Linked DNA regions of Lonchura striata. The protein of the gene in region 3 interacts with the protein of the main gene of each other region in a biochemical or structural test. Links are inferred from orthologs where the notes say so. Each region holds a gene or a part of one and is shown on either strand. Other genes may lie near its edges. The genes, in order: TRIM63, PRKN, UBE2N and RNF168.

What was found.
Region 1: the proteins of UBE2N (region 3) and TRIM63 form a complex in vitro, tested with the Homo sapiens proteins (2 studies listed by BioGRID). The link is inferred for Lonchura striata from reciprocal best matches to the Homo sapiens genes UBE2N and TRIM63.
Region 2: the proteins of UBE2N (region 3) and PRKN form a complex in vitro, tested with the Homo sapiens proteins (6 studies listed by BioGRID). The link is inferred for Lonchura striata from reciprocal best matches to the Homo sapiens genes UBE2N and PRKN.
Region 4: the proteins of UBE2N (region 3) and RNF168 form a complex in vitro, tested with the Homo sapiens proteins (2 studies listed by BioGRID). The link is inferred for Lonchura striata from reciprocal best matches to the Homo sapiens genes UBE2N and RNF168.

What each region holds. Positions count from the first base shown.
Region 1 is NC_134628.1:396,857-404,435, forward strand, and holds the start of TRIM63 (E3 ubiquitin-protein ligase TRIM63), read left to right. Parts: upstream 1-4,578; 5' UTR 4,579-4,597; coding exon 4,598-4,756; intron 4,757-4,844; coding exon 4,845-5,011; intron 5,012-6,077; coding exon 6,078-6,246; intron 6,247-6,506; coding exon 6,507-6,602; intron 6,603-7,076; coding exon 7,077-7,310; intron 7,311-7,430; coding exon 7,431-7,453; intron 7,454-7,579. UniProt on the Homo sapiens protein: E3 ubiquitin ligase. Mediates the ubiquitination and subsequent proteasomal degradation of CKM, GMEB1 and HIBADH.
Region 2 is NC_134605.1:36,999,483-37,007,454, forward strand, and holds the start of PRKN (E3 ubiquitin-protein ligase parkin), read right to left. Parts: upstream 3,015-7,972; 5' UTR 2,917-3,014; coding exon 2,910-2,916; intron 1-2,909. Other genes in the region: PACRG (parkin coregulated gene protein), read left to right, coding at 3,634-3,840. UniProt on the Homo sapiens protein: Functions within a multiprotein E3 ubiquitin ligase complex, catalyzing the covalent attachment of ubiquitin moieties onto substrate proteins. Substrates include SYT11 and VDAC1.
Region 3 is NC_134607.1:53,630,281-53,637,375, reverse strand, and holds the start of UBE2N (ubiquitin-conjugating enzyme E2 N), read left to right. Parts: upstream 1-4,082; 5' UTR 4,083-4,179; coding exon 4,180-4,209; intron 4,210-7,095. UniProt on the Homo sapiens protein: The UBE2V1-UBE2N and UBE2V2-UBE2N heterodimers catalyze the synthesis of non-canonical 'Lys-63'-linked polyubiquitin chains. This type of polyubiquitination does not lead to protein degradation by the proteasome.
Region 4 is NC_134612.1:5,260,408-5,267,632, reverse strand, and holds the start of RNF168 (E3 ubiquitin-protein ligase RNF168), read left to right. Parts: upstream 1-4,209; 5' UTR 4,210-4,524; intron 4,525-7,225. Other genes in the region: WDR53 (WD repeat-containing protein 53), read left to right, coding at 2,170-2,757. UniProt on the Homo sapiens protein: E3 ubiquitin-protein ligase required for accumulation of repair proteins to sites of DNA damage. Acts with UBE2N/UBC13 to amplify the RNF8-dependent histone ubiquitination.

The DNA.
Region 1 (7,579 bases), on a different chromosome or scaffold from region 3:
GCTTTTGTGTGGAGGCGGCTGCGGGAGCAAACGTTTCTGTTATCATCCAGTTGTTTGACTCAAGGAGAGGAAGCTTCAGTCGCTCCCCGTTTATCTTTTTGAGGTGACTGATTTTTCGCCAAGCCTCCCCAGCACGAGGAATCTACATCTATGGAAGGTTAAAAAGGATAACTGATTGCAGGAGTTTGCACCCAACGTCTAGCTTTCACTTTTGCTCAACAGAGCAAGGACAAAAGTTAAGTTATTGCTCTGAAAGTAAAACAAGAGAGACACACACACACACAAAAAAAAAGAAGGGGAAAAAAAAAAAAAAAGCCACCAAACCCTGCTGCAGATTTATGACCCTCCCTACACGCTGCCCTACAAGATTACAAACCAAACACCAGCACCACCTTCATGCAACCAAACCAAAATGGGACACTGACTAGAGACAGCAATAAATTAAAATAAAAAAATAAGAGCTTGACTAGCCAAGGATCACTGGTCAAACAGAATGAAACGCAAAACCAAAAGTAAATAAATAAATAAAATCACACTGATAGAGCAGAACTACAATAGCTCTAAGACAGCCAGTGATAAAGGTAATTCTCTTTATGTCAGGCAATAAGGACCACATGTTATTAGTAGGAAGATTTCAAGTATTTCCACTGCTTTAGGTAATTTTTTTTTTTAGAAAAAAAAGGAAAAAAAAGAAAAAGAGAGAGAAAAAAGGTATCATCAGTCTCAGGTAATGCTACAGAGATATTTTAACCTTTCAGCAAAGCTGTGCGAGGGACATTTGCAGCAAGGATTTGAACCAAGCTGTGCCGTGTGTGAGAACAGGGGTGCAGCTCCACATTAGGGCTGGGACTGAGATGCAATGGGCCAACAAGGGCAGGAGCTTTAATTTAATCTCAATTTCCCAGTGGCCAAACAGCCCCGGGGGAACGCGGCTGCCCCGGGGGCGGCCGGGCGGACACCGGGCCCAGGCAGCGAATAACGAATAATATAAACACTCGATTAGAGAATAACACAAACATAAAGGTACCGCAGGTGATATATATACACCCCTCCTGCTCGGCGCGGCCGCACCTGCGGCCCTGAAGGGAAAGCGCCGCCTCAGAGCGGGCGATGCTGCCGGCCCGCCGCTGTGGGCATGGCCCCACTCCCCCCGCCCGACCTGCAGCCGGATCCCACCCGCTACAAGCACCACCACAAAGGGAAAGGGGAGGCGGTGGGGCCGAGCCGAGCCGAGGCGAGCAGGGCCGAACCGGGCCGGGAGAAGCCGCGTTACCTCAGCGCCGCCGCCGCCGCCGCCCGGCCGCCATCTTAGGGCTGCGCTCCGCCCGCCGCCCTCAGCGCGGCCACGCCCCCGCGCGGCCACGCCCACACAGCACCGCGCCCGCTCATTGGCCACGCCTCGCCGTGACCACGCCCATGTAATACCACGCCCGCTCATTGGCCACGCCCCGCCATGACCACGCCCATGCAATACCACGCCCGCTCATTGGTCGCGCCCCACAGTGACCACGCCCACATAATATCACGCCCATTCCTCGGCCACGCCCACTCCCCGGCCATGACGCGAGCGCCGTGGGCGCTTAATGAGATTAATTAATTAATTAATCAATCAATGAATGACTTAAATTTCTGTTCGTTAATTAGGAATGAATTCCTGGCTGTGAAGGCGGACAGGCCCTGGCACAGCGTGCCCAGAGCAGCCTGGGACAGTGGGAGGTGTCCCCGCGGTGGCAATGAGATAAAGTAAAAATTTAACAAGAAAGAAATCTGGATTTAAGTAAAATGTGTTTTTTAGTCTAGTAACTACAGCACTAGCAAAACTACCTTAACTAAAAAAAAAAAAAATACAGATTTCCACACTAAAAAGATAAGAGACAAGAAAAACTCCTCAAACCTTAAAACAAACAAAACAGAGTGACCCAAGAATTCTTTCTGACAAAAACTAAATACAAGTGTAACTAACTGTAAGTATAACGCAAAATAAATAAAATAAATATACATAAACCTATTATAAGATTCTATGCATATAGAAGTTAGAGTAATAAAAAAAGATCAGGAGTTCTCAGGGGTGCACATGTCCATTAAAGAACAATGAGTCCCCACATGCATCCACAACACTGTGAATAAACACACCGTTCCCCACAAATCTTTATTATAATTGTGGGGTTTTAATCTTTCTCCGCGTTTCAGCATTGGATGGGACTTAAGCTCCTTCCAAAACAAACAATTCTGGGACTCTACAATTTATTGCTTGGCGTCCAGAAAAAAATGAGTAAAGCGCCCCTGTGGCCCTTGGGCGTGCCCTGGCTTGGTGTGACAGTGGCACAAGAGCTGTCGCCCCTCGCTGTTCCCTGTTCTGTGCCGTGGGTCCCTTTCCCCCTCAGGCTGCAGGGCTGGAAGTGCCCCCCATGCCCCGGGGCTGGGGGCGCAGGGCTCCCCCACCGTGGCAAAGCCACCACAGGGACATTTTGGGAGAAGCCAGGGCCACCGACTGCTCAGAGCCCTGCGAAGCCCCGGCAGAGGGAGATTCCTCCCTCAGTGGGCTCTCCGGGGTTAATTGGGAAGGATCCCGGGGGTGATTAGTGCCCGGCTCCTGCCTAAGCTGTCCCAAGCCAATTAGGGGCCAACGAGCCTCTTGTGGGTTCGGAAAGCTGCTTAGGGCATTACAGCCCCTCCGCTCCTGGGAGTCCCCTTCAGCGAGTCCAGCAGCGATTCATGAACCAATGCCATCAGGATAGGGTGCGACCCCCGCGCTGCCCTCCCGGGTGCCCACCAGCCCCGCCGTGCTGCCGGCGCCTCGCTGGCACAGCCCCGAGCGCCGCCCCGGGAACGATCCTGCCCCGTGTGCCCCGCGGCTCCCGGCGCGGCCACCCGCTCCACGCGTGAGCCGGGGCGGAGGGAGCCCAAAACACCCGCGTGGGGAGAGGAGGGGGTCCGTGCCCCCGGCACCGTGTGCTGTGCACCGCGTGTGACACATCCAGGGAGCTGGGCACCCATTTATTCATGTACCTGGTCATCCATTTATACATGTACCTGGGCATCCATTTATCCATGTGCCTCTTCATCCATTTATCCATGTACCTGTGCATCCATTTATCCATGTACCTGTGCATCCATTTATTAATATACCTGTGCATCCATTTATCCATGTACCTGTGCATCCACTTATCCATGTACCTGGTCACCCATTTGTACATGTACCTGGTCATCCATTTATCCATGTACCTGGGTACCCATTTATCCATGTACCTGTGCATCCATTTATCCATGTACCTGGGTACCCATTTATCGATGTACCTGTGCACCCATTTATCCATGTACCTGTGCATCCATTTATCCATGTACCTGGTCACCCATTTATCCATGTACCTGTGCATCCATTTATACATGTACCTGGTCACCCATTTATCCATGTACCTGTGCATCCATTTATACATGTACCTGGTCATCCATTTATACATGTACCTGGTCATCCATTTATACATGTACCTGTGCATCCATTTATCCATGTACCTGGGCATCCATTTATTAATATACCTGTGCATCCATTTATCCATGTACCTGTGCATCCACTTATCCATGTACCTGTGCATCCATTTATCCATGTACCTGTGCATCCACTTATCCATGTACCTGTGCATCCCTGCTCACCTGTGTGCTCACAGACACCTGCACCCCATACCTGCGCACCCAGGTGTCCCCCCACACCCCGTACCCGTGCACCCAGGTGCCCCCTGCACCCCATACCTGTGCAGGTACCCCCTGTACCCCGTACCTGTGCACCCAGGTGCCCCCCCACCCCGGTACCATCTCCTGCCCGCAGTCGCTGTGGGCACCGCCGCTGCCACCCCGTCCCCCCGTGGTGACCCCTGTGCCAGCCGCGCTGGCAGCTCTCCCCGCGGCCAGCGCTGGCCCCTGGCCAGCCCGGCGGGGATCGTGGCCGGGGCTGCTTCCAGCCAGGGCTGTGCTCACCCTCTGCCCCCCCAGCCGTTTCTGGGTCAGCGCTTGAACCCCAGCAGCGGAGCCAGCTGGGTCATGGCTGTGCCAGGGCCGTGCCAGGGCCGTGCCAGGGCAGCCTGAGCAGCCCCCTCTGGGTCTGGGCTCCCGGAGGAGCCCCCCAGCCCGTGCCTGGGGAGGGCACACCCCGCTGCGTGTGCCAGCCATGGGGGCTGCGTCCCTCCAGCGCACGGGGGGAGGCGTTTGCCCCCCAGATTTGCTCCTGTTTTGGGTGGGGAAAGGGACAAACTGTACGAGCCAGCCCTGCTGCGGATTTCTGGAACCGTCGCAATGTCCTCATGACCGCGGGGCTGGCGCTTGCTGCTCCGGGGTCTCGGGACGCGCAGCCGCTTGTTTACCCCGCGGCTCCCGCTCGGGCACGTCCGCGGCACGGGTGGGCAGCGCCTCCTGGACAGCCTGTGCCCATCTTGTTTACCGGCCCTTGCGGTGGCTCAGCACCGTGTGACAGCTGCTGTCCCCTGTCCCGGGACACCCGACACCGAGCCGCGACCGGCAAACGCGTGACGAGGCGGCGGCTTATAAATAGCGGGGCGAGGGGCGCCGGCGGCGAGAGCGCCGGGAGCAGAGCCCTGAGGAGCCCATGGATTTCCAAGGCGGTATCCTGCAGGATGGCAGCCCCATGGAGAGCCTGGAGAAGCAGCTCATCTGCCCCATCTGCCTGGAGATGTTCAGCAAGCCCGTGGTCATCCTGCCCTGCCAGCACAACCTGTGCCGCAAGTGCGCCAACGACGTCTTCCAGGTGAGCGGGGCCCCCGCGCCCGGCCCGGGGGGCACCGGGGTGTTGTGGGGGTACTGATGGACCCCCCGGGCTCATCTTCCCCTCCCAGGCTGCCAACCCGTACTGGCAGAGCCGCGGCAGTCTGATTTCGGGGGGCCGGTTCCGGTGCCCCTCGTGCCGCCACGAGGTGCTGCTGGACCGCCACGGCGTCTACGGGCTGCAGAGGAACCTGCTGGTGGAGAACATCATCGACATCTACAAGCAGGAGTGCTCCAGGTGGGCAGCGCGGCCATGGGCTTACGGGGACGTGGGGACACGGGGATGCCCCAGCCGTGCCCCGGCAGCAGCGCTGAGACCCCCAGAGATCGCACCTGGGGGTCTTCCTGCTCAGCCATCCCCGGTTCAGAGCTTTTCCTGACTCAAATCGCCATCAAAACCTCCCTCCCGTGACTCAAAACTTCCTCCTGCACCCAAAACTTCCTCCCCCAGCCCCATTCTCCCCTCTGCCCCAGCAGTTTGTGCCTCTGGCTGTCCCAGGGGGGTGGCAGGTCCCTGGGGGTGGTGCCAGCCGGGCACGTCCTCTGCCCCTCTTGCTGGAACATTGGCTGGCAGATAAGAGGTGTGGGGAAGGAATCCGGGCTCTGCTGCTGACAGCGGGCACCGGGGCTGATAAGGGGCAGAGGGACGGTTTGGGGGGGGCCCAGTGGGTACAAGGATGAAGCTGGGGGGGACAGAGGGGTCACGGGCTCTCGAGGCAGAGCGGTGGCCCCAGCCAGGTTCCCTGAACCGCTGTAAATATTGTGTGAGAGCCATGGGGACGGGGACGATGGCACGTGGCAGGTGTCCGTGGCTGCTGGGGGGGCCGGGGGGCCAGGCCTGTCCCTGTTTCAGGCTGCTGGCTTGTCCCCACGTCCCTCCCTGCTGTGGATGGGAGGACTGAGCTGCAGCCCCCGTCTGGGACCCCCGGCGGTTTCTGGGTGTCCCCACCCCGGTCACACGATGGGTGACAATAAATCCGGGCAGCACAGGGCTAAAATTAGGCCCTGGTGCAGCTCCTCTGGCTCGCAGCCCCCCCCGTCCCCGGTGCCACCCGCTGCCATGCCCAGCGCCACGGTGGCCTAAACTGGGACCTGCTGGGGTTTGCAGAGGTTGGTGGCTCCCAGAGGAGCAGCTGTGGGGTTGTGCCAGGGTCTGGCGTCTCTCCGATTTCGGGGTGACAGGTGGATGTGTCACCACGGTGGGGGTGATGCTGCAGTGGGGACACCGGGGTGGCGGGGGCCATCAGCCTGGTGCGGGTGTCACCGCGACGGCGATGTCACCGCGGCCGTGCCACCCTCTCCAGCAGGCCGCTGAAGAAGGGGGAGCACCCCATGTGCAAGGAGCACGAGGACGAGCGGATCAACATCTACTGCGTCACCTGCGAGGTCCCCACCTGCTCCATGTGCAAAGTCTTCGGTGCCCACAAGGACTGCGAGGTGGCCCCTCTGCAAAGCGTCTTCCAGGGACAGAAGGTGCCCTGGGGGGGGACCCGGGGGGGCTGCGGGCCATCTGCTGAGCTGGGACAGTGACAAATAACTCCGGGACTGCCTCACGGGGTATTAATAGCCCCCGGGTGACTTCGCCCAGGAGACAGACTATATTTAGAGTGGCTGCTGAGGGATGAGGGGGAGCAGGGCTGGGGACGAGCAATGGCCAGCCCGTCCCCAGGCTGGGATGGGAGAAGTTCCTGCCTCCACAGGAGTTAGAACTCCTTCTCTCTGTCGCTCACCAGACTGAGCTGAACAACTGCATCTCCATGCTGGTGGCGGGGAACGACCGGATCCAGACCATCATCTCCCAGCTGGAGGACTCCTGCCAGAGCACCGAGGTGAGGAAAGGGGGAGAGGCGTCGCTGTCGAGGCAGGACGGGAATGAGAAGACTGATCAGAAGGCTGCTGAGAGTAAAACTCGGATTTATTCAAAATACCCCGCTCTTTTATACAGAGCTTCGCAAGGATCAAATCCATTGGTTCTGAAGTGAAAACAAGCCACGCTATTGGTGTACAGTGCTTGACGCACAGTGATAGAACTTATCTATAAACAATGTGAAAAACAAGAGAGATAAAGAATTATTTACATTCTTTCCCAGCTCTTTCCCAGGCTTCTGCCTGGCTAGAAACTCTCAGTGTCTTTCTTTGACTGAATCTGAGACCCACAGAAAGGAGCCCCCCAAAACCTGACAGTGAAACCTCAGCCGGGCATGGGCGGCAGTGGGGTGGAGCCCGTGGAGCAGGGAAGCCCTGGGGTGTTGCAGGCGCTGGGGGGACGCAGAGGTGGCATCCCTTGTCCCCTGTCCCCGCAGGAGAACAGCGAGGCGGCCAAGCGGGAGCTCTGCGCTCGCTTCGACGCGCTGGCAGCGCTGCTGCAGGAGAAGAAGGCGGAGCTGCTGCAGCGCATCTCCCAGGAGCAGGCGGACAAGACCGCCTTCATCCAGAGCCTCATCTGCCAGTACAAGGAGCAGCTGGAGAAGTCCAGCCGGCTGGTGGAGACCGCCATCCAGGCAGCCGAGGAGACCGGGGGGGCCGCCTTCCTCATGGTGAGACCCCCAAACCTGCCCCGTGGCGTCCCACTGCTGGGGACGACCTGGTGGTTGCTGCTGCTTCACTCACCTCCTCCTCCTCCTCCTTCTTCTCCTCCCCCTTCTCTCCCTCCACAGAACGCCAAGCAGCTGATAAAAACGTAAGTGCTCAAACTGGGGGAATCTCCACGCTCCAGCCCCCACGGGCAGGATTTGGGGAGTGGGCGCTGCCCTGCCCCGCTGCCCCACGGTCCCCGCGGGGGGACAGGGACACGCACACACCGCTG
Region 2 (7,972 bases), on a different chromosome or scaffold from region 3:
GCCACTGTTAACTATATAGAGTCGACCTTCTACATTTTTAAAACAGTTTAGGGCCTTCTCCTGGCATTTTTGCTCTTTGAGAGAGATTTTCTGAAAAAATTTCACAAAGCTGTCCCAGCATCTTCCTTCAAAATCAGTTTTATTTTTTTATTTTTCCCCCCAGAACAGGTGTTCAAGAATGTGACATTATTGCCAGGGCTGTTGACTAAGAAATAGATCAGCCAATCCAACTGCAGATTGCCACTTCCATTCCACTAACAACAGGTTTTAGCTGATCCAATGGTAAGCAAATAAATAAAATAAAGAACAAGCTTTAAAACCCCACCTCAAAAAAACTCCCCAGACCTACCAAGCCCCTAAGTAGAGGTAATGCAAGCTATGTCACTTAACTAGCTCAGTCCGGATTCAAATTACACTTTAGGGAACCTGAATGTGCATAAGTCTACATGACCTGGTCTGTGAGATATGAAGAGAAAAAAGAAAGATAGAAAATAAAAAATCAGTTAAAGGAATTATCATGTGTATATTATGGTATCAAATTATGAGGATGTAAGACATTTCTAGAGATATGAAACTGTGAAACATTTTGAAAAATATACTATGTATTTTATAGGAAAATTCTTTTAAATACTCAAGTTAAAAAAATGGGCAGATTATTTTCTCACCCTTGCATTCCTACCCCCAATTTTTGCTATGGCATTCCCAGCTTCCAAATGTTTAGAGGAGTTTTCAGAAAGTCTCAAAGCAGGATACTGGACCAGGTCTCCACATCACATACTTTGAAGATAATTCTTTTTTTGGGGGTGAGTGGGGGAGGGTGACATGGTTTTTGGGGTGTGGGGAGGCTGGGATAGAGTTAATTTGACTTAGAAGCTGGTAACATGATGCATCTTGAATTTAGTTTGAGAATAATGTTGGTAACACACTGGTGTTTCAGTTGTTGCTAAATAGTGCTTAGCCTGAATCAAGGACTTTTCAGTTTTCCATGCTCTGTCAGTGAGGAGGTGCATAAGAAACTGGGAGAGTGTGGCCAGGAGACAGCTGACTCAAACTAGCCACAGGGACATTCCACACCAAGAGATAAATTGGTGGGAGCTGGTCTGAGGATGGGCTGGGCATTGGTCAGTGGCCAGCGTACAATTTTATTCTGCATCCCTTTTTCCTCCAGTTTTCTTCTTCTCTCTCTTTTTCATTACTATTATCATAATCATTAGCATTATCAGTATTTTTATTACTCTGATTCAATTATTAAACTGTTCTTATTTTACCTGAAATTCTCCTCCACACCCTGCAAGGCAGGGGAGGAGGGGATGAGCCAGTGGCTGTGTGCTTCTTAGTTGCCAGCTGGGGTTAAACCAGGGCAGGTTGCAACTCATGTAAAGCTGTGTTTTTAAATATGCAACTAATTGGTCTGTACATTTCATAATCAATATTCACAAACGTTTCCATCTGCCACAGTGAAAATAAAATTATCATTCCTCAGTCACAGAACATTTATATTCATGAGCAGTAAGTAAATATTTAGATTTCAGTGTGAAGCTAGAGGCATCAGCTCTGTAACCACATGGGCAGTCCCTTAGGTACACTCAACTTACTTTTCTGAAGCATTGAAAAAACAAACACACACTGCAGTTCTGCAAACACATGTATTTTATATACTACAGCGATACATCAGATCAGCAGATAACATTGCAAAATAAAAACACTGGGATACCTGACCCTCTGTGCTTTCCTTAAGGCAAGCCTTCAATTTAAAATGTTCTCTACTACATAAGAAAAAAGTAGCTCAAATGACAAAGTCCAGTAAGAAAAATTCCACAATTAGGAAGGGATCATTTGCATTAATATGTATACAGAGTGAAAATACTGGACAACATTCTTTTTAGTTTTAGCAAAGGTGAAAGAACATTAGCTATACACATGCAATCATATTTTCACTGCTAAGAAGACCCAAAGCATTCTTGGAAACTTCTGAGACGTTCCATTTAAAAACAATAAACATTTTCACAACAAAATGCGGAGTTTTCAATTTGATCAGATCTTAAGTAGACAGCAACCATGACACCAATGCTGACGAAACAGCAAGCCTGAGAACAGCAAGGAGTTGCTAAAATGCGTGTGTGCAATCCACTACCTTTTATAGGTTTTACTTTAAATAATTCTCAAAACTGAGAAAATCAAAGATGAAATGCATAATAAATAGGAACGCTACAAAACAGATCCTGCAATTTCGAACTTTCCCAGGTATGGATTAATCTTTCAAGGAAGTGAAGAAAACCCACTGCTGAAACAACCAAGTCACGCTTCACACCAGCATTGGATGGGTACAGAAATCAACTCAAGGTCCAAAGGGTCACACTCCCAACACCGTGAGGTGTTGAAAGTTTCTTCTTTTCCAGGTCGCCACCAGGTACCACGCCGGATTAATAACAAGTATATATGCTGGCAAGGCCAAAAAACGTTCGCAGATCGCACAAACCTTGCCGAGAAGCACTTACAATCGATATACCGAAAAGGAATAAAAGAGCTCTAAAAATGAGCTCAGTCACAAGAACTGGCCAGACCTTTCCCCCCCTCCCCCGGGGGTAACAGAGGAGGGCTTTGCCCCGCCGCGGTTTAAGCAGCGGGCCAGGAGCGCGGGCGGCCCCAGCCCGCCCCGCCGCGAGTGCGAGCTGCCCCGCCCTGCCGAGACACCGGGCGAGGCGCGCGGGGACCGAGGGGAAGCGAAGGGGGCCGGGACAGCCCCCGCCGCTCCCAGGGCCGCAGAAGCGACAGCAGAGGCAACAAGAGCAGCGGCGCCAACAGCAGCGGCCGCGGCAGCGCCGGCGAGGAGGGCGGAAGGGAAGGGGCGGGGAGGAAAGGGCGGAACCGCATCCGGGCGCGCCCCGCTCCCTGACGCGCTCACTCACCGATCATGGCGGCGGCGGCGGCCCCGCGCGCGGAGAGGGGCGAGGCGTGCGCGCACGTGCCGGCCGCACCCACCGCTCCGCGCTGCCCCTTTCGCCGCCCTGGGGGGGTCGCGCCGCTGCGGGCGTGTTGGGCCGGCCCTGAACGCGCATGCGCCTCGGTGGCGGAGGTGGAGGCACGCGCTGGGCTCTCTGGGTAGCGTAGTTCCTGGGCAGCTCACACCCGCACACGCTCTTCTCACGTTATCGCCTCACGTTTCCGCCACACACCGCTAATGACTTTCTCGTTAATTGCTGTCCGCCGCCCCGGTGTGCGGTGCACCGGGGGTAGGTACAGCTGTCCGGGACCGGGCGGTGCCGACGGGGCTATTTGTGATTCCCCTCCCGCTTCCCTCAGGGTTGTTGACGCGTTGCCTGGCAACGGTCGCGTGGTGGCAGGTGCCGACGGAGCTCGGCAGGGCCGGAGCCGGCGGGGACACCGCGGCGGGCGGGAGGGCGGGGGCGAGACCCCCGGGGGACAAGGACATCAGGTGGCGAAGGGCTGGACACGGCGGGGTGCGGGGGACGAGCGGGGATGATGCAGAAGGGGACTGGGGAAGAGGGGCAGGCAAAAGGGGTCTGTGAGGAGTAGGGAAGGCGCGGGACGGGTGTGTGAGGCTGCCGCTGGTTGCGGAGGGAGAGAAGCTGGACCTAATGCCTGCTCTAACTCGCTGGACACGGGACGCTGATGGTCGCTTGTTTTTTCCAGTCCGTAACTTGCATCTGGTCCGCCGTGGGCGCCGGTGGGGAGATTGTAATGGAGGAGGGGCGCCCGGGCCCCTCAAAATTGGCCGGTGACAGGCGGCCCCAGCAGCAGGAGAAGAAGGACAAGCAGCAGGACAAGCAGCAGGCCTGCGAGGGTTTCAGTATTAGAGCCATGATGAAAAACAGCGTGGTATGTTTGCTGCAAGCATAGTGGTGATACTAATTAACTGAACTTGTCCAAGAAGCATAGCAAGTTAGAGCTGTGGATATAGCGTGGCAGGAAGGTGTGCAAGTTTCTAATACTTTATCTGGAGTTTGCTGGTTGCTGAAATTACCCTCGGACTTTGCAGGAGTATTGCTGCAAGTTGCGATACTTTCACCAAGTGCTTTATTTTGGTGTTACTTCTTTTTTTTTTTTTTTTCTATGGTTTTGTATTGGCAGTGCACATCCTGTTAAACTGCCAGCCTATGGAATTGTGCGTGAAGCTTCCTGCCTCCCACTTAGCAAAATGCTGTCCAGTAGTGCAGTATTTCTCAAAAGTTTTCATACACTGGCATGGTATATAAAACTGATATGAATGTCACATAGATCTGGAAAATAGATTAATAGATTTTTTTAAATAAGCTTGGAAAATAACTTCTACACCATCTAGGAGAATACTAAACAAACAAACATTAGTTCTCCAACTTGTAGTTCAAAGACAGAGAAATTGATCCAACAAGTAGCAGTCACAATTTCTAATGAACTTGGAGGCTTGGGAGTTAAAATAGTAGTATAAAGGCCCTTCAAATCTCTTTATACTGTTTTATTTATCTACCTTTATCAGAATTTAGGAGTTAAAAGCTTTAACTAGTACAGAGTACAAATATTCAACATGTGAGTGGATGAGGTAATATTACCATACATCTCTGCCTAAGCTCCTGAATTGTATTCTTCATTTGGACACAGTTCAAGGTGTTAGCAAAGGCTTGAGTCCTCAAGGGTTTTTTTAAATCTATAGAGTGTTCTGACAGCTGTTATGAAATACATTATTTCCCTTTGTTTTGCTGAAGTGGTCTTCCTGGAGCAGTCTCTCTGATCTTGTTATCAAGATGTTATGTTATCAAGAAGAAGTTAGCAAGAACATCCTCTTAAAAAGCCAAACAAGTATGTCTTTAAAGAAATTTTAAATAGAGTAAAAGTTGTATACCTGAAAAACTTTCTCCTATTTAGTAAAACTGCAACATATTTCACCTTACTTGGAAAAACACAAGGTGAATACAGCCAAATAATCTCTTTGTTTTAAAGATTGTTTGGTTTGTTTATTTTTATTGTAGAGATGCATGGAATGAACTATAATACTTCAGCAACCTTTAGGATTAATTTTTAAAATATGTTTCCTGTTCTCCAGAGAAAATTCAAGTAATGGATATTTGCATGTGGTTGTTTACACCTAGATATGTAAAAGACTATTTTGTCTAGAAGAATCAGCAGTTTCAGTTGAGTTTGAGAAGCACATATTTAATTTATAAAAAGGAGCTGTGACTTGTGAACATAACTAACTATGAGTTTAATCAGAATTCAGGTTTCCTTTTAAATATTTATAGAGTATTAATTTTTATGGCTGCCTTTATGACTTCCTAAACATGAACAGACCATTAAATCATGTGATACTGTTGTTAAGGAACTGCCTACAAGTAAATCTGCTGCCTTTGCAGCTACTCACAGAATAACAGAAATTATTTTCTTTGGCATGGACATCTGGAAATCATCTAAGCCAACTTTCTACTTGAAGTGGGCCTGTCACCAGTATCCAGATCAGGTCAGTGAGGGTTTTCCTAGCTAAACTGTGACATCAGGGATTGCCTGACCTCTCTGAGCAGCCTGTTTCATTTCTGCCCTGCTCATCTGTCCCCTCGCTTGCCCTCCCAGCCTGTCAGAGCTCGGGTTTACAGTATTATGACCTGCTGCACATGTTCTACTCATAACTGGGTTGGAAGCTCTGAAATTCTTAGTGGTCTTGGGAGATTCATAGTGCCAGGGCTATGTTTTGCAAGAGCTCCATCTGTGGTCAGGCAGCCACCAGAATAACTTCCAGTGTGCAAAAAAAGGAATATCTCATAGCCACGCTCTCTATGCTGAAGTGGGAGTTTCTTTTTACTTTTCCAACTACTTTTTGAATGGAGCTTTAGATTTATTAAGTACTCACTTGTCAGAGGTTGACATCTTTGATGAAGTTCTCATGGAAGGCTTGGGAGTTAACTGAAGGGTTGAAAGCACAGCAGGAATATCTAGTTACGACATGGTAATTCTTTTTGTTAACAGCATGATAAGGCATAGGGTTAAACGTGTTTGGCATCTCCAGGTCAAATAATGAGGTATTGATTAATAGCCTTTAGTGCAAGCATGTAGTTAGTCTTAAACTCTTAGCGTAGATTACCTTTATGCATATATGACTGTAAATATTATACTAAATGTTCCGGAATTCTTTTACATTGCTTGGGCAAAGAGTGTTTTACTAAGCTGTTTTTCTTGAATGTTCCTGAATAAAGTCTGCTTTTGTAGTTAGTAGTAAGTGCAGAAATTAAGTAGATACAGTATTTAAGACTTTTCTCAGCTCTTGCTAAATCAAAAACTTGCTTAGTGAAATACAATGCTTAAATATTCACCTAAAAATGTTCCTGAACTGAATAAAGTGTTTAAGTTACTCCAAAACTGTAAATTTATATATCAGTTTAGATTAAAAGCAAGGTTCAATAAAGGTCTTCTATAATAACAAGAAACATTTACATTTTTATTGTTTTGTCCTCCGGTGAAATCAAGAATGTTATGTGCTCTTACTTCAGAGGTACTGCATATAGAACTAGGAACACAATTAAAAATTAATGTAGAGACTAGCCGATATAGAAGTGTCTGAACATGAATGTGAGCAGCAGGAATATATCTCAATTCATTTCTGATCCTTTCTAGATGACATTTTCCTGTTTTCTGCAACTGTAGAGAAGAGAATGAAGTGTTAGTGTCCCACTTTTCTGTAATGCGCTGGTGGTAAAAGCACTTTTTCAAGGACAGGATTCATTTTAGTACTTAAAGGAAACAGTAGAATGATAATTCTTATCTATCTCCCAACTCTTATAAGATTACTATTACATTCATGTGTTCCATGACATCAGTCAGAAATTGCCTTCAGGAACAGGCCACAGGGATAGAATGAGAATATTTACTAGATGATCTTAGAAAGGAAGGGATGCTAAAAATTTTCGTTTCTGTATTTCTAAAACCAAAGCAGCTATTCAGCCTTAGAGTCTTAGCTCTGTATAGGGCACAGCTTTCATCGCCTAAAAAAGTGTAATTGCTCTTAAGCAGAAAAATGGTTATTTGTATTGCAGCTCTGGATTTTCATTCTTCTGTTCTACATTTAGGAATCTGCAGTCTCTATGTGTGGGAATGAGTTCTCAATCTTTGTACTTTAAGCACTTCTCTCAAGCCATTTTCAGTAATGTGTTGTGAAGAGCTTTCTTACGCTTTACCATTAGAAAATAACTCCTAGAAAAAGTTTAATTTTAACCATGATGTGATTTGTTTATGTTCCGAAATTTGTGATTTGTCATTATATTTATATTCATCTATCCACTGCATAATCAAGACTGATTTTGTTATTTACTTTGTAGCAGTCAAAGTTTCTAATTTGATTTTGAGGCTATAGGAAAGAATACAAGAAAGTTGTATCTTTTGATTATAACAGCTAATTTATTGGAAGAATCAGTGTGTTTTGGGGCAAATAGATGTCAAGTTAAAGGAGTATTTTGATAGAGGTATATTGAGAAGTAGCACATCTGTCTTGGAGGAACTTCTCCAGTTTAACAATAGCAGTTGTGTACAATCTAGGAGTACACTTCAGTGAGCACTGCAAGACAATTTAAACTGTCAGTGCTCTGGAAGGCAGTCCTATCTTCTTCCTCTCTCAGGCTGTTTAGTACTGCTGCCTGTTGTTGTGTCCTCATTTGTACAATGTTGGCTGCTCAGGGAACTGTTCGTGCTGAAAAAACTCCAACCTTTTAAAGCTCACAGTGTTGAACTGCTGTCTGTGGGATTGAGGCAAGCAAGGCTTCTCCTTTAACGAGGTTCATCTGTTTTGCCCTTCTCCCTGTCCTGACTGCATGCTTTCATCTCTCCTTTTGCACTGATATTGTTTTTTCTTGTAAATATAGAGTAAGTTGGATCAGCTGTAACAGCTGCAAAGGGAAGCAGGAGAGTGTCTGCATAAACTGTTTGTGTGAGAATGTACCCTCTTGGAAATATTGCAGTCTTAATTAATTTAAAACCAGTATGATACCAAGTT
Region 3 (7,095 bases):
TCAGACATTTTTAGAGGTTCCAGGCCTTGGTCAGAAGCATTCTAGACCCTGGCAGACAGCTGAAAAACAACTGTGATTTTGAGTTTGAGCCATGGAATGAATTACCAACTTTGGAGGTGGAACAAGCAATCACAAAAGGTTAGATAGTATAGTATAAGTAGTTACGAAGTAGAGGGGAAATTTTTTTAGTATTGTACAGGGGGGTTTTAGCACATGTACAGGGGGGTTTTCACTTTGTACATGGGGGTCAGAAGTTCTAAGATGGAGGAAAGTGGGCTGATCCCATCCTTCTTCCTTCTTCTTCCTTACCTCCATGTTCTTGGTGATGTTGGCACTCACAGATTGGTTTAGAGTAGAAAAACACTTGGCAACGTAGGTAGTAGGTATTGGGGAATAATTGTAAACATGTTATACGTAATATATCTTATAAAAGATAGCAGCAACCCTGGGCGGAGGGAGAGACGAAGAAGACAGCAGATAGAGAGGATGTCAGGGTGTGTGTGTGCCTCTACCCAGGCCACTGATCAAATAGCTGCAGTCCAAGAACATAATCTGTTAGATAACTAGCAATAAACTGCCTTGAGACCGAACAGCTAAGCCTGCGGAGTTTTTCTTTGGAAGCACGGGTTGGAGGAGGAATTTCACCACCACATGTGGCCCCAAAACAAGGCTGGGGTTCCCACAGGATCCCATTTTGATGTTCTAAGTTGGTAAAACATATAACTAGTGGTGTTTTTTTCTTCTCTCAGTACAGTTTCACCCAGTCCTACCAGTTTAGATAATTCTGAAATTGTCCAATGACACTTTAAATTACTGCTGAATGAAAAACACTGCACTTCTGTGGCTTAGTTTCCTCCTTTGTACATAGGCATCATAGCAACTCTTGTGGAATTACTCTGGGATTTACTGAACATTTTTAATATAAAATTTTGATATTACTGTGAATATTCATTCCGTATGTGTACATACATACATCTGATTTTTGCTGTAGAACAGATTTTCTACAATATTTGGCAAAAATATAGAAATGCTTTTATGCAAAAATAAAGAATCTGGCATTTGAAAGAGAGTTGTAATTACAGTAAAACTTCTATAAGATTGCAAAGAGGGCTAGGAGGAGGAAATAAGATTAGTCAGCCACAGGCTCAGCTGGCCTGGATGCACCCACTCAGTGAGTAAGTCTGGTAATTTGATGACAGCAGAAGCTGTGACAGGAAGATGGTCAGCAGCTGTATTGAATTGTTCTGGGTGTATTAATTAATTGCCTAATTGCAATTACTTCTTTACCTTCCCTGCCTATAGTAGCATTATAGAACACTTTGTTGGTGAATAAGGTGGTTGCCTAACTTTGTTCTTGGAACCACTGTAATTCCGGCAATGATGTGATAATCACAGATTTGTGGGAGGAGGATTGTGTTGTCCATCCTGGCTTTTGTAGTGGTGCAGTGGGATAAGATCAGCTCAGCCAACAGAACAGGTCACTGCTGCGGGAGGGGATGGTCCTACACCTGCACCTTCTCACTCGGTTTCCAGCTGCTTCTCTTGTGCCAGCTCTGATGCCTCAGTGAGCTGGTCAGAAGGGTAACTTAGCAAAAAAAAAAACCCAAAAACCCAACAACAACCCCCTATACTCCAGTAGATACATAGCAATGACAAGACTGGATCAGGAATGTAGAGCAGGGAAAGGGAGCTGGACCTCAGTGCTTCCTGCAGCTTCTCCTAAAAGCTGAGGGGCATCTAAAGCTAAATTAATTACTCATGGATACTACAGCATACAACTTCACTCCCACTTCTATTACCTTTTGTTGTCTGGGGCTTGCCAAACCCCAGTGTAAGACAAACCAATTCACCAGTCCAGCAAAAGACTACACTGAATGGCTGTTTTTCTGCCAAGTTAGTATTGCATCAGCTCAACAGAATGAACAGTGGGGAAAATGCTATGTGTAAGGAAGGAAGGTAGAAGGAGTGAGGTAGGAAAGGGAAGAAAGAAGTCCTGTTTTTAAGAGGTTGACTCAGCTGCTTGGTCTACCTTAACCTCAAGTATGTGCTTCCACACTATCCCTAGTGCAGGGGACTATTGAAAGTCCTTTTCTCACACCCTCAGGCATGGGTTCCAATCTTGTTTATGCTTCACCTGTAGAGCTGTGTGGCTGCCTGTGGTTCACAGCAGCTCACTGCTCACCCAGGAACCACTTGTGCTTTTGATCAGCTTGTCTTAGGTGAGAGATCATGGTGTGAGCTCAGGGAACAGCAGTGTGTGGCAGAGGAGGAGGGCAGCAGCAAAGCAACTAAAAAGTGGTGTGCCCTTGACATGAAACTATACAGTCAATAACCCGCACTGTGGAGGCAGGCCTTGGTGGAGTTGGGCTGTAGGAATGAATGCCCATTTGAATGGGGACTACAGGTCCCCAGTCTACAGTTGGTATTCTGGAGTAGCCAGTTTGGGTGGCTTTTCTAGCCCAATATGGATACTCGGATCTCTGCAGCAGTCCTTCTAGGAGCTAAAATAGCTTAGGGGAACAATCTAAATTTTTGTAGATATGACAACAGAAATCAATGTATTTGTTCACTGCCATCTCCTGATCAAGTGGACTTCAAAAGCCCTTTCATAAAAGAAGCCAGAAGGAGATGTATAATGAAAACTTCCAGGATGTGACAAACCACTTGTGCAACAAAAGCTGTCAAAACATAATAAGCCAGATTGACTTAACTGCAACTTCAGCTGACTTAACTTCTTGCTTCAGCTGTAACTTCCAGCTGAAGCAAGATTCCTGGTCTACAACACTTGAAAGGAGACACTGAATTCAACACCAATGAGCATTTATTTGAGCCAACTGTGTTCCACTCAGTTGTTGTGTCTTACAGACTTTCAAGAAACTTTTGGCCCATGCTTTCTTCCATGTATGCCAGTCCTTTAATGGAATATTCTGGGAGAAGTGTAAAAGAGAAAAAAAAAAAAAGGGGTGAAGGCAGAAACAAAGAAAGAGAAGTAATTCAGTATGCACTGTAACAAAATACATCATTTTCCAATAACTTTTGTCTTGAGGGTATGGACCAATGAAGATGCTTTGAAATCTAAATAAGTGTTGGAGTCATGGAGTCTTTCGCCTAGATTTGCAATTGCCAGAGAACTTTACTTTCTACCAGAGTACACAGAAATTATGTCCTGTTTTAAACCGGAAGAAAACACTTGATAGGGACTCATATGTACATAGGGTTCTATTCTTTGCTGTGCTGCTGACCTGCTGAGCAACCTATGGGAAATTAGTTCATCTTTCTGTGCTTTTACTTCCCATAAATAATGACATACATTCTTAGATGTTACTATTACTATACATCCGTAGTAATGTCCTAGTATGCTCGTGCAATAATTATACTGCAATGTTTACAATATTCCTCTTTCTGCTGAAAAAGAACAAAGGTTTGCTAACTAGGTGTTATTAAGACAAAGATCACAGAACTGTTAGGGAAGATCCTATTTCCACCTTCCCTGCCCAGGCAGGGTCACCAGGAGCAAGTGATACAGCAACATGTCCAGGTGGGTTTTGAGTATCTCCAGAGAGGGAGATTCCACAACCCCTCCGGACAGCATCTTCCAGTGCTTTGTCACCCTCAACATAAAGTTCTTCCTCATGTTGAGATAGAACTTCTTGTGTTTTAGTTTATGGCCATTGCTCTTTGTCCTGCTGCTGGGCACCACTGAAAAGTCTGGCACTATTCTCTTGATACCCACCGCTGAAATATTTTTATGTATTGATGAGATTCCTTCTCAGTCTTTTCTTCTCTAGACTAAACAGGCCCAGCTCCCTCAGACTCTCCTCGTTAAGAGAGATGTGCCAAACCTCTCATCACCTTTGTGGCCCTTTGCTAGACTCTGCCAGTAGTTCCTTGTGTTTTAGGCACTGATGTTCTAAGGTAGCTTTGAGACAGGTTTAGGAACACTCACAGAAGCTAAAAGTCAGGGACGAACAGACGCTTGGCGCTGACAGCGCACGGCCCCGCTGACGGCAGCTCCTCAGCGCCCATGCCGGGCGCGGACCCCACACGCCCATCCCTGTATCCTACGTTTCCCGGCGCCACGCGCGCAGGGCGGTGCCGCAGGAAGCGCGGCGCGGGTCTTTCCGGCCGTGCGCGCGCCCCGAGCGGAGGCGCGCCCCGAGCCTGCACCGACGAGACAAGATGGCCGGGCTGCCCCGCAGGATCATCAAGGTACGGCCGCGCGCCCTGCCCGCCGCGCGCCGCTCCGCCATGCCGGCCGGGCGCGCCGACCGCGCCGGGCCGGGGTCCGCGGCCGAGCGCAGCGCCGCGCCGGGCGCCGCTTCCGGTGCCCGGGAGCTGGGCCGCGCTAGGGCAGGGCCGCCTCCCCGGCCTCCTCCCGCCCCTGCCGGGCGAGGGGCTCCTCGCTGCCGTCCCGCCCGCGCCCCCGCCGCTTCCCGCCGCCGCCGCGGGACTCCCCTCGCGCCGTGTCGGCGCGCGCGGGCGGCGGGAGCGGCCGGGCCCTCCCGGCGGGCGCGGGCCCGCGCCCTTCGCGGGGATTGCTCGGGCGGCGGCGGCGCCCCACGGCCCCCGCTGCTGCCGAGCGCTGCTGTCTGCACAGCCTTCGGGGTCCGGAGCTCGAAGGACACCGGGCACATCCCCCGCTGTCTTCCGCCGACCCAGCGGCTCCTCACTGGGGGCTTCCGCCAGGCCCCGGCTTCCCGGCACAGCTCTAGGCGTGCTTGGCCCGGGGGAGGGCGGCGGTGGCGCCGTGCTCGGCTTCCTAGTGTGCGGTGAGGGACGAGCCACAGCGAGCAGTTAAACCTGGCCACAGCTGTGTGTGCGTCGGGACATTGGCACCAGTGGTCCACGCTGGGACAGCCCGGTTACTGCTACGTTTGCTCGGAGCTGTCGGCCCTTACTCTATCAACGTGTCGTGCTGGTGCTTCGGTATCATGTTTCGACTGTGATTTGCCAAGCTTTGCAAGGGCTCTTAACTTTGGGGTATTTTCAGCAGATCCTCCGAATTCGGTTCCAGCATAAGATTTGAGTAATTTGGAGACACTTATTGGTAGCTGTATTGCAAGCTATCAAACAGCTCGGTCCTGTAGCTCACGTGGTTGCTCCTGCTGTGCTGCTGTCTCCTACTCGATTTGTAATGGTGTGAATTGAAGCCCCTGAATGGATGATCATTCTCTTTATAAAAGTTATTAAGTGATTCCATTAAGGTTGGTTAGCCCTCACAGGAAATGACAGCATCCTCATAGCCTGTTACAGTGAATGGATGTTAGTTTTTAATACTCTGAAGCTCTCTCAGTTGGTAAACACTGTAAATAAATTAATTTATAAAGTTTTAAATAGTGGACAAAAAAATACATTATTTTTGTCCAAGAAGTCAAGTTATCAAGTAGGTGATAGAGATGATGAGGTAAAATAAGGCAGTAGTGTTTGTCTTCTGTGAAATGGAGCTAAACTACAATTAGTGCTCAGAATTGTAAGTAAGTAGTAAAAATAAAGAAGACAAATCTTACTGATTTTGATGCCTATCCAGCTGTCTGAGTGCACACCATGCTAATCTGAAGTATTTCAGGTGTGATAGGGAACAGTGATTCATAATACAGTGGAACTGGTATTTATCACAGAGTTGCAGTAAGAGCTCAGTCATGAGGCTGGTGTCTGCATTAAATTTTCATTGCTTTTGACAGATCCCCAGAATACAACCAAGAAGTGCACTCACTTATGTTGGTGCATAAATTTTGTTCCTGGTACTTTTGTTTTCTTCATGCTTTTCTAGAAAAAAACGCTAGCGCAATTTACACAACTCACTTCAAAGATATGTGGTGATGTGGGACTGTTTGTTTTCCTCCTGGAGAAGAAAGGTGGAGAGCAAAAGAGAGTCTTAGAAACTCCAGATTTTCTGTGAAGGAGCCCCCTTAGACATATGATGGGTTGGGTGTTTGCATGTGTGCATTGGAAAGTTGTCTGCAGCCAGTCTAGAGTTATTAAATCTTGGCTTGGTTGTGTTAGATGATCAGCTCTTCAGCTGCTGTGCTGTGCGTGCCTTAGGTTGCCACATGTGAGTATGATCTAGGACTTGAGTCTGACTAGTTACTAGAGCCTCAAAAATGTGCAAAGTCATATCTTGAAATACCACAGCTGCAGAGGTGTGGACCCAGAAATACTCCTGCTTAAATCTTTGGGAGTCTTGAGTGAGAATTGTTTTGATCTTTTCTATCATGCCAATTTTGACTTTAGTGTTTAATTTCCTATTCTGGATGCCTTAGAGGGTGGGTAGGGAGTGAACTCAGTTGCTAATGAGAATTTGAAAGATCAGGATAGGAAAGAGCTGAGTAATGTTAAAATAACTCCAGTAAATAAAATGAAATCTTCATGCTATGCACAGTAATAAATTTCACGATAAATACATGGCTTAGGTTACTTTTAGGAAAAGATCTTCTCCCTTTTTGCCACATGCACCCTTTGTGTTGTCATCCAGGAGAGACCATCAATGGCTTCTTGGGGCTAGGAGATTGTATTTGGACTGTGATAAAGTCCTGAGCCTGGCTGGCTGCTCAAAATGCAGTTGGCATTCCCTGTCTTGAGCGACTGCTGGCAGATGGCCGGGCTCTCAGGTTGACTTGCAGCCCTGTACTCCTCAGCCTGCGTCTTTGCTATGTGCAGGCTGTCATCCAGCCCAGGAGGAGAGCAGGAGTTTTCCTTGCAGTGGCAAGGACTCTGTTTATGTTTCCAATACTTCAAATTCAATGAAAAGGTGACAGTATGGGTGTTTTAAAGCAGTTGTTGCAGAAGATACAGAATTATTCCCAATTTACTGTCCTCAGATTACTTAGAAACGGATTTTAATAAAGTGTGTGTGGGAATGGTCTGTAAGTTCAAAAGGTGACTTGCTTTAGAATTATGACTGTTAGCATATCACAAATGGTGAGTAGAAGACATTGATGTAGTTTTGAATCTTAAAAGACGTAATCAGAATTGGAAAACATTGTATCTTTTGAATAGAGAAGAGGTATTTTTGTTTTCTTCAGTAGTTCAACACCAGGGATCCTATGAGAATTGTCATGACAAAAAAACTATTAATGTAAGATAAAATGTGTTACT
Region 4 (7,225 bases), on a different chromosome or scaffold from region 3:
GCAAAACCAGTAGCTGCCATTAGGGATCAGTTGTGGCTGCAGATAAGATGCAAATGATGGTGAGGAAAAGGCACAGTGTTTGAGGCAGGCAGGTAGAGCAGCATCTTTCCAAGTGGAACATATCACTGTGAGAACAAGTGATTTGTATAATTTATCCGTTGTTCTGTTAGCATCTTGGGAGCATGAAATGTTCTTTGCCTTTTAAATTTTTCTATCCTCATCAAGAGGAAACTTTGCCCCTTGCATTCTGAGACCCATGCTGGGAGTTAAGCCCAGAACAGATATTTTTCAGTAATTTCTTTCCAGTAGTTGAGGTCTGACCACATTCCTGGTTTAGCCCAGTATGAAAACTGTCACTTCTCAAAGGTTTCTGTGGTTCCAGCGGTGTCAGGGTGAAGTCTGTGTGACAGGTTTGAGCAGTTTCAGCCTGTGTTCTTGAAACCAAAGTACATCTCACAACCCATTAGAGCAAGTACATGCTGATATTTAGTATAAACTATTTTTCTGTGTTAAAGCCATGATGATCGATCCTGTTTCAGAGGAGTAAACTCTCAGTCCCTCAGCTGGCTTAATTCTGGTCCCTAAAATGCAGATACACAAGCTTGTGGCTGGAAACTTTTTATCAGAATTGTAAACGTTTATGTACAAGGAGGTACAAGGGAGCTGATTATTTTTTGTGACTTTTTAGTATTAGGTTCATTGATTGTAGCTCAGCAAGTTGTTTTTTTAGGTGAAAGTCAGTATCCCAAAACAGGATTTAATTAGTGTGCTTTTGTACAGTGAAAAGACCATCATTCTGCATTCTGCATTCTGCATTCTGCATTTAAGATACATCATTTCCCAAAGGGGAGCTTAGCTGCAGAACTCTGAAGTCCTGTGCTGCACCATGTCTTTGGACAAGTTATGAGCGCTACAAAACATATTCTGGGCTTGTCAAACCCTCGGGGAAGTCATGTCTGATGAAAATTGAAATTGAGGTTGCTGGAGTTCTTTCAGGAGTTCCAATAAAGCAGAGAAAGTGCCATGAGGACAGAAAATACTTAGTTTGCAGAAAACTCTTCAGCAGTTGATGGATTCATCAGGTTGTTGCCGTGCTGTTTGTGATGAAAACAGGAGTATTTTCTGTAAGCATCACCCAGCTCCTCTGATTTAGAGCAAATCACAGTTGTGGAAGTAGTTTTAGTGCAGCAGCAACAGCAGTAACTGAAACAGGAAAGTGACAGGAAATATATTTCAGATGTTTTAGTGTGATTTGGATTCCGGAAATGCAGAGCCAGGCTTTTTTGTGAACTAAATTTAAAGGCTCTGGTACTTCTTATTGGTGATTACTACTAAAGGAATATTTTTATTAATAACAAATTGAAGCTTAGCTTTATGAAGCAAACAGTACACCAGTGCTGCATTAGAATGACTTGGGCTTTTCAATCTGTTGGCCTTGAGAATTCTCATTGTCAATTCAGATCCTACAAAAGTCTTGAGAGCATTATTTTTAATTGGCTCAGTATAAATATGTAGTGCTTGAACTGCTGTACAAGAGACGTGGGATTCTTCACTGGGGGCTTGGAGGTGGGGTGGCATTGGAAAAGGAAGTCTAAAAGCACAACCTGCCCCATCTCAGTAGGTTAAGCATGCCCTACTCCATAGCACAAACCAGATCTACTCACTGGATATAAAAATAAATACAAATATGCCTGTTTAAAGACCACAGCCTTAACTGCTGTTTTTGCCTTTTGCTGTCCCATTTTTAAGACACATTCATGGCAGTGACTATTACAGGCCAAGTAGCAGAGACAGAAATCCAGAATGATAATGATCTCTATTCACTGCTAGGGTTTCCGTGTCCCTCCTTCTCAATAATTGATGTGCAGTACATCATGATTGCTACTGCTGGAATAAATGCAAAAGCTTTTAGAGCAGTGTTAGCATCTCTTCCATGGTCTAAAGGTGTGAGTCATTGACTGCAGAGTGTGGTGGTGGGGCTTTGGAAAGCAGGCCAGAAAGATTTGCTACATTTATTAGGGCAAGTTTAACCACACGCCTTACAGTTCTTGGAGTCACACACAACCTTTGCTCTGCTAGGAGAAGTGTGGTTGCTTATTTTACCGTTAAAGATCCGATTTGAAGTAAAACACACAAATAATTTCTTTATCCTATTGGTATTTTTTCCAGGTGATGCTGTGGAACCTGCAGAAAGTTCGTCCCTTGTGGACCACAAACCTGCAGGAGTGTGACATGGAGGAGGAGAGCCTGCAGTCAGCCGGGCAGTTCTTCAACCCGCCGCTCGCGCATTCCCTGTCCGTCGCCTCTTGCGGCAACGTCTTCGGCTGTGGAGCTCAGGACGGTAAAGTCCGAATATTCCGAGTCACAGGTGCCAGGTTTGAACGGGAGCTGGAGTTCCAGGCTCACAGCTTGGGAGTCTCACAGGTGCTCTTTATGCCTGAGGCATACCAGTTGTTGTCTGGAGGAAACGATGGGAAAGTCTTGCTCTGGGATGTCAGCAGTAATATTGGGAAGCAGCAAAAAAGTCCAGCAAAATCTCTGCACAGGAGGAAGGCCCAAGCAGCTGCTTCCAGCAGGAAAGATGGGAAGCTCAACAAAGCAGCCTCAAATGAACACCCTGGAGTTGTGCCAAAGCTCAGCATTGAACACGGAGAGAAGGTGAACTGGCTCTTGTTTGCAGAGCTCAAGGGCTCCAGGAGAGTGTTGGTTGCTGACCAGACCAGCTCAGTATCAGCCTATCCATTGCCAGAACCTTAAGGCAGCCAGGGGCTTACAGAAGTCTGGGGGATAAAACCACTTCTCAGAGCCAGTTACTTCCACTGACAGTGAACTGGACAGTGAACCCCTCTGGGTCCTTGGGAAGGGAAAGGGATTTGCTGTGCACTCATGATGTCCCTGGCCTCGTGCTGGTTCCTTGTGGCTGTTATGTTCACAGCTACTCTCTCTTGCAGGGTTGGAATTTTGCTGCTTGGATTTAAGTGAAACGGGTCTCTATATTTAGGGGTAACATTAGTTCATGGCTAAGCTGACGTAATTAAGGCTGGAGGAGAAAATTAGTGCTCAGGAGACACCCACAATGCTAAGTGAGGCTGCTGAACAGTAGCAGGGCTGTCATTGGCTCAGCCCTATGTGGTTTGGGCTGTTGCAGTGCTCTGTGCGAGTTCTCCCATGAAGCTGTGTCCCAGTTGGCTTGAACTGGTCATGGTGGGATCTGGTTTTCATCACTCTGTCAGCAGCTGCATAGACTAGATGCATCAATTAATGAGTAATCAAATGAGTTTCCCTGTGGTTGCCAACTGAGTTTTTTCACTGCAGCAAAAGAAGGAGCAGGGGAACTGTTACACCTGTTTGCTGGGTCAGCTGTCAGTTAGTTGTGTATCCCAGGGAAAAGAACTATTACACTTGGCTTAATAAATGCTTTCTCTCTCACTGTTCCCTTGTCCTTAGAATCACTCTAATAGTGCCAGACTCACACAAAATTGTGTCAAAAAGTTTATTTACCCCGATAGCAGGGTGAATATGAAGGGCCAGAGGCACAGCTTCTCCTTACCCAAATAGTTCCTGTCTTCCTAAAGCTTTGAAACACAATGAGTAGAACTTGGCTTGCTAGAAGCTTCATTTGCAAATTGAAGGTAGGAAAACCTAAGTGGAAATGTTACATCTCCAGACATGTTCAGTTCATGCTCAATTTCCCATGAAGTGAGCAAATAACTCTTTTAAAAGGGTTTTTTTTCCTGGGCTGTCCTTATCCTGTCACAGAACTGAATTCCTAGTACTGGCTGAGGACATGCTGCACTGGTGGTAGGTTTGGGTTTGTGCTGCTGTGTTTACCAACTGGGCTGTTACCAGACTCATACTATATTGGAAAAATTTCCAGTTCTATTTTTTTACATACAAAACTCTGGAAAATCATTATCTGGTTGTGCTGCCTCTGTTCACCCTTTATGGAAGAGATTCCAACTGTCTTGGTTTTGCTCAAAGCAGCTCCCTGCAACCAAACACAACTCATTCTCATCCAAATCAGATTTTACCTTTGTACCTTTTTAATTAAAACAAAAAACAAAGGCAATCTGCTTGTACAGCCTTTCCCAGCAGGAGACTTTGGCCCAAGACATGATCTGGTGGGCGCATCAGCAAATCAAAGCCAAAACACAGCAATAAAAAAAAAAAAAGGCATAAAATTGTACTTGTTCCTTTTTGTGTTACCTGTGCATGAGTTCATGTGTGAAGACATGGGATCAGTGGGGCAGAGGAAGGGGTCGGGTCGGGCTGTGTGGTTCAGTGTGTGACACATCCATGAACGTGTGTTGGTGCATCCATGACCTATATTTGGATATACAGGCTATAAAAAGCCTTGGAACAAACAACCTCCTGCAGGACTCGGATCCCCTGTCCCTGCTGTTGCTGCCGGCTACAGGAGAGAGGAGCGAGCCCGCTCCAGCTTTTATTTCTTCTCTTGGTGTTCTCCAGGAAGATGGCGAAAGCCAGCATCTCCCTGCGCTCCCTGAACGAGACGCTGAACAGGTCCTGCAGGGCTGGGGAGGGACAGGGAGGGCACGGAGGGCTGGGGCATGGGACAGCTAACACGGGACACCAGGCTAACCTGTGCTTCTCTGGAAACTGCTGTGGGCAACTGGCTGTGAACGGACAGCGGGAGGAAAGAGGGACCGAGCCATCAGCTCCACGGTGGTGTTATTCCCTCCCTGCCATCCTGGCAGTTTGGTGCAGGATTTGGGCAGTTGCTCCATCATCCCTGGCCTGCAGCTGCATGAATTGTCACCAGGCAATGAGGGTACTTGGTCTGTTCAGCATGGAGGACACTGAGGGGAGACCTCGTTGAGGTTTACAACTTCTTCATGAGGGGGAAGGAGGGACAGACACTGATCTCTGTGGTGCCCAGTGACAGGACCTGAGGGAATGGCCTTAAGTTGCATAAGGGGAGGTTTTTGTTGGATATTAGAAAAACATTCTTCTCCCAGAGGGTGGTCAGGCACTGAAGAGGCTTCTCAGGGAATGTCACAGCACCAAAGCTCCCAGAGCTTAAGAAGCATTCAGACAATGCTCTCACAGGGTGGGATTGCTGGGGGGTACAGGAGTGCAGGGCCAGGAGTTGGATCCTTGTGAATCCAACTCAGGATATTCTGTGGTTCTGTGAAATTCAGGCTTGCTGTTCTAATTAGAGATTTCAGGTGAACTTCTGATTTTCAGATCATGCCTCAGAGTCTGGAGAGTGGTTATCATGAGCAAAAAAGAACCCCAAGAATGGACCTTTCTTAAAAGTTTTAGGAAAGCAAATCACCATCACTGGGGAATCAGGTCATAGGTGATGCTGATTCACCCTCCATTTCCAAAGCCTGCACTTGGCAGAGGAATGTGACCAACAGGTTCATAGACTTCCTGAAAAATAATCTGGCCTCAGCTGCCCCCGCTGGCACCAGTTCCTGCTCGGCTGTGCAGCAGCAGGCACCAGTGGTGGTGGCTCAGGGCAGATACAAAGATACGAGCATGGATCTTCAGGAAAAACAGTCAAAAAAGGGTCAGAAATTCTCAGCAGTTAGAGGTAGGAAGGATACTGTCCCCACACTCTGGATTTTCACGTTCCTGAAAGGGAGGTGAGGCCCTGGCACAGGCTGCCCAGAGAAGCTGTAGCTTCCCTGGATCCCTGGAAATGCCCAAGGCCAGGTTGGATGGGGTTTGGAGCAACCTGGGATAGTGGAAGGTGTCCCTGCCCATGGCAGGGGGTGGAATGAGTTGGGCTTTAAGGTCCTTCCACTCAACCATTCTGGGATTCTAGGATATTTTACATTTAAAGGCAAACTATGCAGTGTTGAGACTTTTAAAAGTCAAATCAGGTGTCATACATACACCTGTGGTTTACCTGCAGTGAAAAGGATCCCTGTTGAGAGTATCACAGCTGATGGGATGCAGTACTTCTGCTTAGGAAATGAGTGATTATGTGTTGACAGACAGACAGCTGACAGACTTGGAAAGAAACTGCTCTTGTCGAGGTACTGCTCCTAACTGTTAGTTCATCCACAGCCTTTATAACTCTGATTCACATGATGGTGAACACAAAAGTAGCTATTGGAGACCGGACCAGAAGGAGAAACAGTGAAACAACTCCTAAAAGAAAAAAGTGAAAATTAATTCTGTGGGAATCTACTTGAAGAAGTGTGTGTCTAATGTACCATGGAGTGAGTGAATGGGGAAGGCTTGGAGAAGTGTGGGATGCTGCACTGGCCTGGAAAATCAAACCCATGTGACAGCTCTAAAATATCATTTTCTGTAAATGCCTGAATAGCAGAAATAAGGTCTCACAAAGAACCACACTTCCAGAGAAGTGGGAATGCTGGAGCTTCTACTGTATGGCTTCCAAATATGTTCTGTGTGCTAACAAGAGAGGAATTTTAAAAGCTTTCTGGTAAAGAATGGGGATGTGGTTTGTCTGTACACTAGTCAGAGTTAGAGGTCGCTGACTTAGTGGTAACTTCACTTACACTAAAGGAAAAAGTGTTCAGAGGTCATGATGGAAATGAAAATGGGAGGTTTAATCCATTCTTCCTCTTTTCATTCCAAACTTAGATCAAGAGGCAGCAGCACTCAGTCTATCAGAATTCAGTTACAGCTGTGGGAGATCAGTTATGGATCTACCATGGTATAACTGAACAGACATTTTTAGATCCAAAATTGGCAAATGCTTAAATGTTTATTGCAGGTGCTTGAAAACACAGAAGATTAATTTACAGAAAGGCAGTAAAAAATGTTTGAGAGATAAAACTGGTCAAATAGTAAAGCATTGGACTGAAGCCTGCTGAGAAACCACTGCTGCACTGAGAGTAGCATTAGTGATGAGATCTTAGATAACTTTACTCCTACTTGTAGAGGAGGAAGTTGGAGAATGGGCCGTGTGGAAGCTTATTTACCTTGACAAAAAGCTGCAAACCAACAATTCACCGGCAAGAACACTCATTATCTGACAAACCAGCTCTGGAAGTCATTCACAGCAAAGCCCAACTCACCTCACCTCAGTTTCTGCACTTCCTCTCTCAGTGCTGACAGATTCGATCCAATTATGACACATCAATCCTTCGGGTTTTTCTGAACTCCCTACATTTCTACATGACACCAGCTTAGTTTCCAATTAAAAGTTCAATTTTCATCCCAAAATTCTTGCTGAAGCAAGAGGAGTCCTGCCACAGTAAGATGAGCTCCACCAGGCTGCAGA